Ovis aries: one gene and its partners. The protein of the gene in region 1 interacts with the protein of each later gene in a biochemical or structural test. Links are inferred from orthologs where the notes say so. Each region holds a gene or a part of one and is shown in the gene's direction. Other genes may lie near its edges.

Region 1 (4,112 bases):
GAGTTTACCTCTGTGTTTGACTGCCAGAAAGCCATGCAGGGCCTGACGGGTCGCAAGTTCGCCAACAGAGTGGTCGTCACAAAATACTGTGACCCCGACTCTTACCACCGCCGGGACTTCTGGTAGAGGCGGCGGGGGAGGGCAGGGGTGGAGCTGGCTGGGGGCTTCTCCCCCTCCTGCTCCCCCGTTTTCCCCCTCTGAAGACGATGGGCAGAGGAGTGACAGCCGAATGACAGCCGGCAGCAACTGGAATGGCAGCAATTAAGGGTGGGGGTGGGCTGGGGTTGGGGCGGGGCGGGGACTGGGGAAGTGCGCACACAGACCCACACAGACACACGCACCCACAGACACAGAGGGAAGGGCGGGGAGGGCGTGACCGCAGGGAGGGGTTGGATCCCGACAGCCCCTCCCTGAAGCAGTCTTCTCCCGGATACCCCCTTTCTCTTACCCTTCCCCACCGTAGAAACAGTGTGTTTATATTTTATGGCCAAACTCTTTTGAATTTTGTTGTCCGGCCCGGTACCCTGCCCCTTCCCTCTCAGGACCACAGCTCCCGTCCTCCTGGCCTCTGGTCCTCGCCCCTGTGTCCTCCTGGTTTCTTACGTAGTCGATTCTCTCTAGTCTCCCAGACTTGCCCCCCACCCCGTGGCCCCTGTCCCTCTCCTCCTCTCTGTGGCAGTTTCATATTTGCTAAGACGAATTTGCTCATTAAACATTTTGTTGTATTTTACTTTATGGAGCTGTTACGTGTCCCGTGTGTGTGAACCCTTTGCTCTCCAGGTCTCGGGTTCTTTGGGCCCCAGGCTGAGGCCTGGCTCTGGGAGGTCTACAGGCTGTCAACCCCGGCTTGGGTGCCCCTGCCCTTGGCGCAGCCGAGGTGACGTTCGCCTGCGTGGCCTGCCGCGCTGGGACGGGCCGGGGCGTGGCCCCGGGGAGCAGGGGGCAGTGAACTGGCCCAGCAGACAGCGGGGAGGGCGGTGGTCGGGCAGCCGGCTGGCCTGGTGGCCCCAAGAGCTCAGGTCGCCCAAGGCACCGCCGGCGGTGGCGCGTGGCCCGGGGGTCCGGAGCTTGCGCGCGGAGGTGGTCTGGAAACGATGCGTTCCCGACCAGACTCTTGCTGCGTACCCACCCTCTGTCGGCTCGCGGCGGCGGGCGGAAATAAGGCAAAAGGCCACGGGTCCCGCGCGCCGGAAATGACGACACGTGAGAGGGCGGGGGCTAGGAAGTGGCGATTGCGCAGACGACGGCCGGGTGGGTCGCGGGGTCACTTCCGCTTCCGGTCCGTCGCCTTCTTCGGTTGCTTCCCGTCCGCTCGGCGGCTCCCCTCCCCCGCCCGGCTCTCCGCGCCCCTCCCGGGCGGCGGGGCGGCGGGGCCGTCGACGTGCGGCCCTCCGTGCGTCCGCGCGTGTGCCCGAGCGCGGCTCCGCGTCCGCCGCCCGAGGCCCGGCACGCTCCCCGTGACACCGAGGCCGAGCGGGGGCAGGGGGCTGCCTGCCATGAGCCCCCGGAGCGCGGCGTGAGCGGCCCGAGGTGAGCGCGGGCGGGGGGCGGGGAGCGAGGGGCGGGCAGGCGCGCTCTGGCAGCTCCGCGGCCTTCGTGTGTCTGCGCCCGCCCGGCCTGGACCGCCCGCGGCTCTCCGGCTCTCCCGCGTCTGCCTCCCGCGGGCCCCCCGGGCCTCGCCGGTGCTCGTGTCCGTGTGTGTCTCGGCGTTTCCACAGAGCGCTCGTCCCCGTGTGTCTTTCCCGGTCTTGCGCTTTTCTGTCACGTGTGGGCGTCGGAGGGTCAGAACTAATGCCAGTGTCTCCGGTCTGTGCCTCTCTCCCCGCCGTCCTCCCGTGTCATGGTTGTCCTGGTGCTCGTCTCCTCCAACCCCGAGTCCCTCTCGGCGGGTCTGTCGTCCTCCCAGGTTCATGAGTGAGGGGTGAAGAGCCCGACTCTGCAGTCAGAGGCCCACTTTGTGCCAGCCTGTAATATTTATAAGCTGACCAGACAGTTCCCTAGTCTTTAAAATAGTAGGGCAGCCGTGCCTGATAACGGAGGTGATGCTGCCCCTCGCCTCTAGCCTAACCTTAGCTGCTGGGAGCTCTGGTTCCCATTAGTACTTGTAGATTTTCTCTCCCACACGGTTAAGGTTTGATATCGTTTGATATCTGAGTAACTGTTGGAGAATTTTGTCATATCATTTGTTTTGTATTTGGTCTAGTAATTTTGTTTGGGTCAGCCAATTGTGAAAAACCTTTTCCTTCTTAGCCGTACCCATGAAGTCTTAGCTTTGCTGTGGTGTTTTTCTTCTAACGTCCTTTAATAGAAACACACTGTGTTAAGATAGCACATCTTCTTTCGAAAATGTTTCTGTTTCTGCTGATGAAAATCAGCCGGTGTTATTGAGCTCTTATTATCTGGGGGTCGGGGAGTTGAGTACTTTATGTTCCCATTGTATTTAATCAACAAACCTGGCAGCTGGAAATCCTTTGCTTTATTTCACAGTTGAGCAAACTGAATCCCAGGGAGGCCGGAATTTGGACACAGGTTTCGTTGTTCTTTCCCGTTTCCTTGTCTGATTTCTCAGCCTCAGCTTAGCCTCTGTTTGTCTCTGGGCCTCTGTCTTCTCTCTTTGCCTCCCTGCCTCGCTCTGGTCTCGTTTCTTTATCTGTAGCTGTGTCTCTGCCCAGGTTTCTCTGTGCCTCTCTCCTCTTTCTCTCCCTTCCTCTCAAAGGCCCCTGCTCTGTGTCGCACACAAGCGTCGTGTGTTCGTGTGTCTGGCTGGGCCTGTCTCTAGCCCTGGCCATCTCTCCAGCCATTCACAGCCGTCCCTGAGTGCCTGGCTCCCCTGCGTTCGGGGCAGGGACTCAGGTGGTAGGAGGCCTCCACAGGAGAGGCTGTGGGCGATGGTCAGAGCCTACTCTGGGACCCGGCTGCCCCCGGGGAGGCCCGGGCCTGGCTTCCTCCCTGTGAGGCGTCAGCGAGTGTGCAGCGGAGCAGAGGCGCAGGCGTGGCCCTGGGTGAGGCTGCAGAGGGCTTCGCAGATCCCCGTCCCCCTCTTCTGTTTCTTCTCCGTCGCCCTCCCCTCAGCACAGGTTAAGTTAAAGGACCTGTTTTGGAGCCTGTGCCGCCTGCCCAGTGTGACCTTGGCTGGGCGCTTTAGCTCTGTGGCCCGTCTCCTCCTGTTAGAACCTGGTGTCGGTATTAGATGAGATCACGTGTGTCCCGTGCTCCCTGAGTGTCAGGCACGCCGCCAGGGCCCAGCCAGGGGGCTGCACTCTTCCTTATCTCCCCCCGGCGGACCCCCTCCCGGCCATCTCCCTTTCTCAGCCTCCTCCCTGTGTGCCCTTGTTTCTGCCCCCACCTGCTCTGGAGGTCTCTCCTGCCCACTGCCCCCTTCCCCCAACCCCCGCTTCCTGTCCTTCCTGCTCCATTTACTGAGTGGCTCTTCCGGGCTAGCTCTTCTGCCGGGAAAAGCCTCGGCCGTCCAGAGTTACGTGGTTGCTGCCCCCACGGGCTCTGGGGGCGGCCTCAGCCCAAGTCAGACCCGCTTAGGAAATCACGAGGACAAGCCCTGGTGTGGGGGTGGGTTGGGCTGGAGGTTCCTGTGGAGCCCAGCGGAGGACAGGAGGAGGAGCGGGGTGGCTGTCTCAGGACCCACCCGCGGGGACAGTGCACGCATCCCAACCCCTGGCTTCCCTTCCTGTGTCTAGACTCTGGATCGAGGACCCATCTTACAGAGCAGAAAACTGAGGTTCTGGAGGTGCGGGTTAGGAAGTGTTGGCTGGGGTGTGCCCCAAGGGCCCGTGGCCCCCTGCAGGCTCTGCCACCGGAGCAGGAAGGTGCTGGGCATGATTGAGGAACTGAGAGCCAGTGGGGTGACGCAGGCGGTGCCTCGCCGGCTGTGGCAGGAACCCCGTCCTGCACCTCGAGGGCCAGGCGGCTGCAGGCCCCGCGCCTGGTTCTGAAGGCCCTCCCTCCACCCTCCAGATGCGGTGAGCCGCCCGTCGCTGCCGCGCCGCCTGCCCGCCCCGCCCGGCTCCGCTCGCCGCGGGGCCCCCGCCCGCCGCCATGTCGACCTCGTCACTGCGGCGCCAGGTGAAGAACATCGTGCACAACTACTCGGAGGC
Region 2 (4,310 bases), on another chromosome or scaffold:
TCACATTTCTTTTTACAGGAGTCACAGGGAAAATTGGGGTTTGATATTTATCATGGAGAATACGTCCCTTTCTCACCTTTGTTAGAATGGTGGGCCATTCTCAGGGAAGCCTGACCATAAAGGGAAAAATGAGAAGAGAATAAACATGATCTCTTGGCTTCCAGTTTTCTTGAGAAGGTTTTATAGTTGTGGAAAATACAATGGTGGTGAGATTTTTGAAGTGAAAATTCCTGAATTAAGTCAGTCTTTGTTCCTCCTAAGTTACCTATCGTTTTGGTACTCTTCTCCAAACCTACTTATGTCTTAACTCACTCCTGGCAAGTCTGAAGCAAACAATGGTATAAGGAAATCTGAGTAATTTTGGGGATCCTCATTTTCTATTTCATTTTTCCAGATTCCAAAAAGGAAATATTACTCTGGGCATCATTTATGAATTAACATAATTTTTTTCTTCTTATGTTTCTCTTTTTATCTTTGCCCATTCCTGTGACTTTATGTTTTTTTCTTTTCCTCTCTTCCTTTGCTTGGTCCTTATCTTAGTTGAACAAAATACCAAAGCATATTTGTTATCATTAGTGCTATTGCCTGACTTTTTTTTTTTTTTAATTTGGCTATGCTGGGTCTTAGTTGTGGCATGTGAGATCCAGTTCCCAGACCAGGGATGGAACCCAGGCCTTTCACCCACTGCATTGGGAGCTTGGAATCTTAACCACTGGACTACTGGGGAAGTCTCCGTTTTGTTTTTAATATTTCTTTTAAAGCACTGTTTCGGGTGGAAGGTATATCTCTAAACCATGGACTGATTTTTTTCCCCTTGGGTTAGTGTTTCCCAGCCAGGCTTAATGCATATACATGGGCAAATTCTTCTCAGGGCCTTTTTCACTCCTATTACTCAAGCATTGAACACTAACCGATTTTATTCCTTTTTAAGGCTCAACCCCAGGTTTTGAGTCTTGCCTGAGAAAGTGGCTTAACCCTGTGGCCACCTTGAACACCTTGAACTTTACAGGAGTCACTGGGACCCTGTTCCTGCCCTCCAGATTTTCAGGACTGTCATGGAAAAAGCGAAGCCTAATTACCCATGCCTCGTCCATATCCCGTGCCTAGTCCATTTCTGGGAAGGGCACAGCGTGACGTAAGCACTACACTTGCTCCAGCGTTCTAGGGAGAAATCGCCACAGCCTTTCCCACCCCCTGAAAAGCGCCATTCTCCAGGTGGGAAGAGCCAAAGACGCCTCTCTCGCGCAGAGTGGACGCGGAATGACTGTGGCTCTGGCCCTTTGGATTCTGCAGCGCGGGCGGCGCAGGTGACCATTCGCCGAGCAGGCTGCGCTCCGAGTTAGTTACCTGGCCCAGCGCGGTGGGGCGGGGCGGGGCGGGGGCGGGGCCATGGTGCGATCCAAGGCCGTGATAGGTTCGTGCCGCGCCTGTCTCCATGTGCCGTGCGGCGGAGGCACAACATTCAAGTCCGGGGGCGGGGCTGGCGCGCGCCGGGAGGAAGCGGTCGCGCGGCAGCTGCGGGGCGTGGGGGCGGTGGCGGCGGCGGCCGAGGCCGAGGCCGGAGCAGCGGAGGCTGTGGTGAAGGCGGCGGCGCCTTAGCCGGGGACGGTGCTCCGCCTGCCCCCCTTTCAGGCTCCATGGAGGCGGCGGCGGGCGGGCTCTGCGGCTCTGGACCGCCGCTGCTGCTGAGCGAGGGCGAGCAGCAGTGCTACTCTGAGCTCTTCGCGCGCTGCGCCGGCGCCTCAGGCGGGGGCCCGGGTCCCGGCCCCCCTGAGGCCGCCAGGGCTGCCCCTGGCGCGACCACTGCAGCCGCTGGCCCGGTCGCCGACCTGTTCCGAGCGTCGCAGCTGCCAGCCGAGACGCTGCACCAGGTAGGTCCCCGCACCCTTGCCCTTGTGAGTCTGTGGGGACCGTTTCTGCAGGGACAAGGGGGCGGGGTGGGGCGACAGGGCCGCCGACAGGCACCCGGAGGCCTCGGCCAGGTCGCGGAGAGTGGCTTCGCAGCCTAGAATGGCGGCGACGCCCTTGTTCCCCAGGGGACACCAGCCTCCTCCACAGCTCAGCGGTGCTGGGTGCGCTCCCATCTTCCTCCGCTGAGACAGACGGACACTCCCTCCTCTCCCCGGCCGTTTCTGGGGTCTCTGCAGCCTCCCAGACCCAAAGTTTGCCTTCTTCTGTAACTAGTGTTTGTTTTGGCTGCTGTCTGGAGTAACCTCTGCTTGCCGCTCCTGCACTTCCCTCTCCTGGGTGAGTGGGCGCTTGGATGCCTTGCAGGATTTGAACTTGAAGGGTGTGTGTGTGTGTGGCCGGCGGCCGACGACTGAATGTTGTCCGCTTTATATACTACTTGTAATGTACACGAATTTACTGTACATCTGCGTACTAACGTATTTCTGCATATTAGCATTAAACTGAACAGCTTAATGACAAATTGCAGAACCGGGACACAGGGCTGCAAGAGGACATCTGTCAAGGCAGAGCTAAGCTTCCTATTTAGGACTGGACGTGGTTCCCAGACATTCACCGTGAGGGACAGTTGTAGTTTCCCATCTTACCATTATTTGGACTTGAAATAGAATTGCCAAGTAATGTGTGTCATAGCTGCCTCCTTTTGGCTGCTCCATACCTGGAAAAGGAGGAGGAGGAGGATGCACAGTAGATCAGTTTTCCTTTTGTGCTTTCCGTGGAGCAATAAGCATCTTTGTCTGTGTTTTGCTGTTACTTCGTTGTGATAAGATTCTTAATACCAGGCCCCAAATCTGAAATGAAGTTTTTCTTAAAAGCTGGAGTCAGGTTTGACAGAAAACAACAAAATTCTGTAAAGCAGTTATCCTTCAATAAAAAAATAGAAAGAAAGAAAAAGCTGGAGGCAGTTTGAAAGTTAACATCAATTGTATATTTAGAGTGGGGAGTGATATTTTAAAATCCAGTTCCAAAGGGGTACTGAGGGTTTTATGGTTCACTTGCAATATCATTGTTTGTAGATTAAAAAAATCATTTAAGAGCATTTTATACTGCTGGAGCATGCGTATGTCTGTCTGTTTGAGCATAATTTTAGCCACTCTGTAATCTCTCACTTTTCAGAATTCAAGATTTCTGAAAATATAATTAGTATCCACAGACCTTAACACGGCTGTTTGTCTCTTAAGAAGTCTTTGCTCTGGAGACAGTTTGACTTCTGCTCTTGAGCAGTTGAACTTGACCAGGTAGAAGAAAAGTCAATATTTTAAAACATGAACCATGGCTATTACATGAGGTCCTCAGAATACTCCCAAGCATAATTTATTAAATGCTATTGCTGCTTCTCAACTGAAAGAGGAATAAGTGACAGGCCGCACAGCAAGTAAGTGACAGCTGGGCCTCTGTTAAAAGGCTTATTTTGTTGTCAGTAATGCATGGAGTGTGATAAGAGATGGGTAGGCATATTAAATCTGAATTATGTTGATTGACTTCTTCTAAGGAGTTGGGGAGGGGCCTTTCCTGGTGTTAGAACCCAGGGTGTTTAAGGTTTAAAAAGAACTCAAGGCACGGTGCCTTTGTATGAATGAGATTGTATTTTTGATGTCTAGTTGAAACCTTCTTCTTGCAAAAGATGCTGGCAAGAGGGGACATCCCTAGAATATTGCTTGTGATAAATCTCAACGAGCTTTAGAGCTCCCTTATGCAGCGCAGCAAAACAAAAGACTTCCTTCCCCATTAACCTGTGTGCTCAGTCGTGTCTGACTCTTTGTGACCCCATGGACTGTAGCCCACCAGGCTTCTCTGTCTCCAGTGTCTCCTGTATTGGCAGGCAGGTTCTTTACCCTGAGCCACTGGGAAGCCCAACCTAACACAATGCAGTAATCCAGTATTCTTTGCACAGGTGAAAATGAACATCGAAGGCATCCTGGACAGAGTAATGTAATCAGAAGAGATTCAAACAAAGCCAGCAGCCATCTAATTTTTACTAACCACGTTGGTTGTGTGTGGTGTGGTGTGTCTGGGTGTGTGTACGTGCATGAGCACTCAATTTATCTTGACTTTCACTACTCCATAAGTGTATCAGTCTTTAGAACAGATATAGATGTTTTTAGCCTTTCCCTGTTAAACAGGAACTTGTAAGTTTAATTAAGTGGTCCAACAGGTATAACTGCCCCATTTGTGGAGGCACTAACTAGCCCTGTTAGTTTCTATGGTAATGGATTGTTTTTTTCTTTTTAATAGGCATACAACTAAGATTACCATAATGTTCCAGGAAGATTGAAAATCTTACCTGAAGTACATGTTCTATAAAAATGCCTTATTTTGTCTCCTCCTTGAAATAAAAATAA
Region 3 (3,527 bases), on another chromosome or scaffold:
TAAGTGGTTTTAATATATATGACTCTGGTTCGTCTGTTTTGAAGGCCATGTTTTTGGTATACTGCGCACTGGAGAAAGAACCTGTGCCAATGTCCTTGCCTCCAGCCTTGGTGCCACCTTCTAAGAGGAAAACGGTCAGTATATCAGGCCCTATGCGGTTGATCCCCTCTTCAGCATCAGCCAAGGAATCTTACCACTCCTTCCTACCAGTAGGCATTTTACCTACCAAAGCACCGTTAAGACAGGTATAGATTTATCATTGTTAAAGGACTTAAAAAAAAAAAACAAAGTGCATGGCATTTAACAACTGATCGCTTGATGAAGATAGAAGGAACAATCAAAGGGATCAAACTTCAGGGCTCCCTCTGGTTGAACTTGTCTAATGTGATGTCCTAGAGAAGACAGATAATCCTCTCCTATATTTGGCCTTACTTAGGTCATATGGATGTTTTGTTGGCTTTGCCTTGATCTACCTGGAATTCAAGTTGGAGATAAAAGATACACTGTGTTAATCTGGCATGCTTGCTCTGGCATAGTTATTAGATGTTTTGTTAGTTTAATGTCAAGTTAACTCTTGATTCTTTGGGGGTCAAATTATCCAATTTTGTGTTGTCCAAGGACTTTTTTTCCTGTAGCCAGCTGCTTGTTAGGTTGAGTGAAGGAAAATAATGACAGAATATGCAAACCAGCCACCTGATTCTTAACTGTTCAGCTACAGTTAAGAATGCAGAATGAAACTGTAAAAAAATGGAGATTTGGAATTATCTGAGTCTTTTTACAAACTCTCCCAGTTACATATATTAATATGGTCATTCATAAGTCAAGAGTTAACTGTGCTTGAATTTACTCATTATTAAAACAAAATAAAATGGGCATCTGTAAATATAGGCCCTATATCTAACCTATATTTTTTTCCTGTAATTTTCTCTTCATCACAGCATTTCAGTTGGGGTGTGATGGAAGTGACACACTGTTGGTATAGTTAGTGGGATAGAGTTGCTGAGAATTTGTGACAGATACTGTCATGACTTGAAAGGGGACACTTGAAAGTTTGTTTCATTTTGGCAAAAATACATATATATATATGTATTTTTTTCCTGTAGTGGATTGTATCCCCTGCAGAAAAAGCTAAATATGATGAAATCTTCTTGAAAACTGATAAAGATATGGATGGATTTGTGTCAGGATTGGAAGTCCGTGAAATCTTCCTGAAGACAGGCTTACCTTCTGCCTTACTAGCCCATATTTGGTAAGACTTTAAGCTGATTTAAAAAACAAATAATGGTTCTGTATCAGCTCTACTTTTGTACATTCTTATTAATATTTTAGGCATTAGTAAGTAGGACAGTTTTTGTTTTAGAACTTTGTAGTGAAACTTTTGTCTGATGATTTTATTATTAATAAATTTATTTTTTAATTGGAGAATTGCTTTATAGTATTGTATTGGTTTCTGCCATAGGACTGCGCAAATCAGCCATAATTATACATATCCCCTCCCTCTTGATGATTTCTTCTGAGTAGTGGACAAAAGCTTGAAGATAGGTTACCTATAATTTTATGAGGTTGACAGTGTCAGTTATTAGAATGTTAAAATCCAGCATTGGTTTATATCAGCTATTAAACTTCAGTTTTTAAAGGAGAATCCAAAATTCTGAAATTTAAACAGTATTAAAAAGCAGAATCTTGAAAGCATTATTGTATAATTCTGTAGAATATATGTATACTTACATCTTTACATGGGAACTACACACTTGGTCCTTAAAAGTGACAAACTTTAGCATCTTTAGTGAATTTCACATTAAATGAGATAATATATAATGAAAATGCTTTATAGTGAGCCTGCTGCCAATGTGTCTCATTATACTGAGGTTAGTTATCATGAGGTTTCAAGGGGCAGACATCAAAAATGGTACCACATAGTTGCAAAAAGGAACATAGGAAAGAACAAAGGACAGTAGATCCTAGGCTGGGCACTATGCTGAATAAATGGCAGCTGTCATGGGCTTCCCATTATGCCCAAACTTCTTATGTACTTTGTTTTAATTCTCACAGTAACTTTGCAAGATGGATGTTATCTCCACTTTGTAGATGAAGAAACTTAGGCTTGGAGAGGTTAAAAATTATGGCCAACTTCATAAGAAGAAATAAGTAAAAAAGTGGAATTCAAGGTTTCTTTGACACCATAGTCTGTAGTCTTTTTGTTAGGCCACGTTGGTTTTCGGTGAATCATTCAGATCAGAACTTTAGAAAGCTGAGGTTTAGAAAAAGGAAAAAGCAAATAGAATAAAACATTGCTGTTTCTCTTCAAGTAATTTTGTAAAGGTTTCCAGATTGCTGCCTTCTTTCCACACGTGATCTCCATTTGCAGCTGTTGTTTTTCTTTGATTTGGGGACCTTATATCTTCCTACTTCAAAAGTTGCAAGAAACAAGCTGACACAGGGTGTTTTGCTTGTTTTATAATCATTGTAATGCCATGAACGAACCAAATTTGTCGAAACTTTAGGTTTTATTTAACATCTTTTAATGTGTAAAATGTTGGGAGCAGAGACTATTGGCCCACCACAACTTTTACTCTGTAGTGATTCTGGAAATCAATAAGAAAGCATAGAGCAAACCCAAATTATAGATCCCCCTGCTCAGCACCAAGGTGAATGGTCTCTCTTTCTTACCATTTTATTAATAGCTAATATCTCTCTTCTAACATGTTAGTGAGTTTTGGGCTAGCCATGAGTTGGTGTGACTCTTTTTTAATTCAAATGATGATTATTTTAAAGCTACATAGTCATTTTCCCCTGGATTTTTAGAATGTTAGTTGTGGCATTTATATACTGTTCATTTTGTTTCTTTGCGCAGGGCATTATGTGACACAAAGAACTGTGGGAAGCTTTCAAAAGATCAATTTGCCTTGGCTTTTCACTTAATCAATCAGAAGTTAATAAAGGGCATTGATCCTCCTCACAATCTTACTCCTGAGATGATCCCGCCATCAGATAGGGCCACTTTACAAAAGGTGAGACAGCTTAAAACCTTAATGCAGTTAACAGAAACAAATGCTGTGTCAGATGACAAACTCAGTTTGTATGGAATAGTGGAGAAAATGTATCTGGCTAGAAACAGAGCAGTATACTGTTTGTAGTTTAATTTGTACCTATAAATATGTTCAATGCCTTGTATGATATCCTTGGGCTATAGCTCATTTTTCCCATCATTCATCACACGTATGGCAACCATGTTTTCTGAAAATTGGAAAAATTTGATCTTGTTTTTCCCCTCTTAGATTTGTGAATTTATTTTTATTAATAGAGTGTTGATTTTAAATGAAATCTATAAGAATTAAATTATTATGTGTATTATTAATATTAAATTATTATGATAATTCACACTTGGAGAAAACTACGAATTTGAAAATAAAACCTGAGAGATTATGATTATGTGTTGTTGATTTTACATAAAAAGAAAAGAAAAACTTTTTGAGGAAAAAACCTATGTGGCTTTTGCCATATGGATGACCTCTATTCCTGAACAT

The links.
Region 2: the proteins of EPN1 (region 1) and REPS2 form a complex in vitro, tested with the Homo sapiens proteins (3 studies listed by BioGRID and IntAct, with this or other methods). The link is inferred for Ovis aries from reciprocal best matches to the Homo sapiens genes EPN1 and REPS2.
Region 3: the proteins of EPN1 (region 1) and EPS15 form a complex in vitro, tested with the Homo sapiens proteins (4 studies listed by BioGRID and IntAct, with this or other methods). The link is inferred for Ovis aries from reciprocal best matches to the Homo sapiens genes EPN1 and EPS15.

What each region holds. Positions count from the first base shown.
Region 1 is NC_056067.1:62,656,333-62,660,444, reverse strand, and holds the start of EPN1 (epsin-1), read left to right. Parts: upstream 1-1,286; 5' UTR 1,287-1,530; intron 1,531-1,592; exon of another isoform or gene 1,593-3,745; intron 3,746-3,972; 5' UTR 3,973-4,053; coding exon 4,054-4,112. Other genes in the region: U2AF2 (splicing factor U2AF 65 kDa subunit), read left to right, coding at 1-126. UniProt on the Homo sapiens protein: Binds to membranes enriched in phosphatidylinositol 4,5-bisphosphate (PtdIns(4,5)P2). Modifies membrane curvature and facilitates the formation of clathrin-coated invaginations. Regulates receptor-mediated endocytosis.
Region 2 is NC_056080.1:15,177,229-15,181,538, forward strand, and holds the start of REPS2 (ralBP1-associated Eps domain-containing protein 2), read left to right. Parts: upstream 1-1,485; 5' UTR 1,486-1,637; coding exon 1,638-1,871; intron 1,872-4,310. UniProt on the Homo sapiens protein: Involved in ligand-dependent receptor mediated endocytosis of the EGF and insulin receptors as part of the Ral signaling pathway. By controlling growth factor receptors endocytosis may regulate cell survival.
Region 3 is NC_056054.1:25,880,226-25,883,752, reverse strand, and holds part of EPS15 (epidermal growth factor receptor substrate 15), read left to right. Parts: intron 1-44; coding exon 45-134; intron 135-1,103; coding exon 1,104-1,249; intron 1,250-2,854; coding exon 2,855-3,011; intron 3,012-3,527. UniProt on the Homo sapiens protein: Involved in cell growth regulation. May be involved in the regulation of mitogenic signals and control of cell proliferation. Involved in the internalization of ligand-inducible receptors of the receptor tyrosine kinase (RTK) type, in particular EGFR.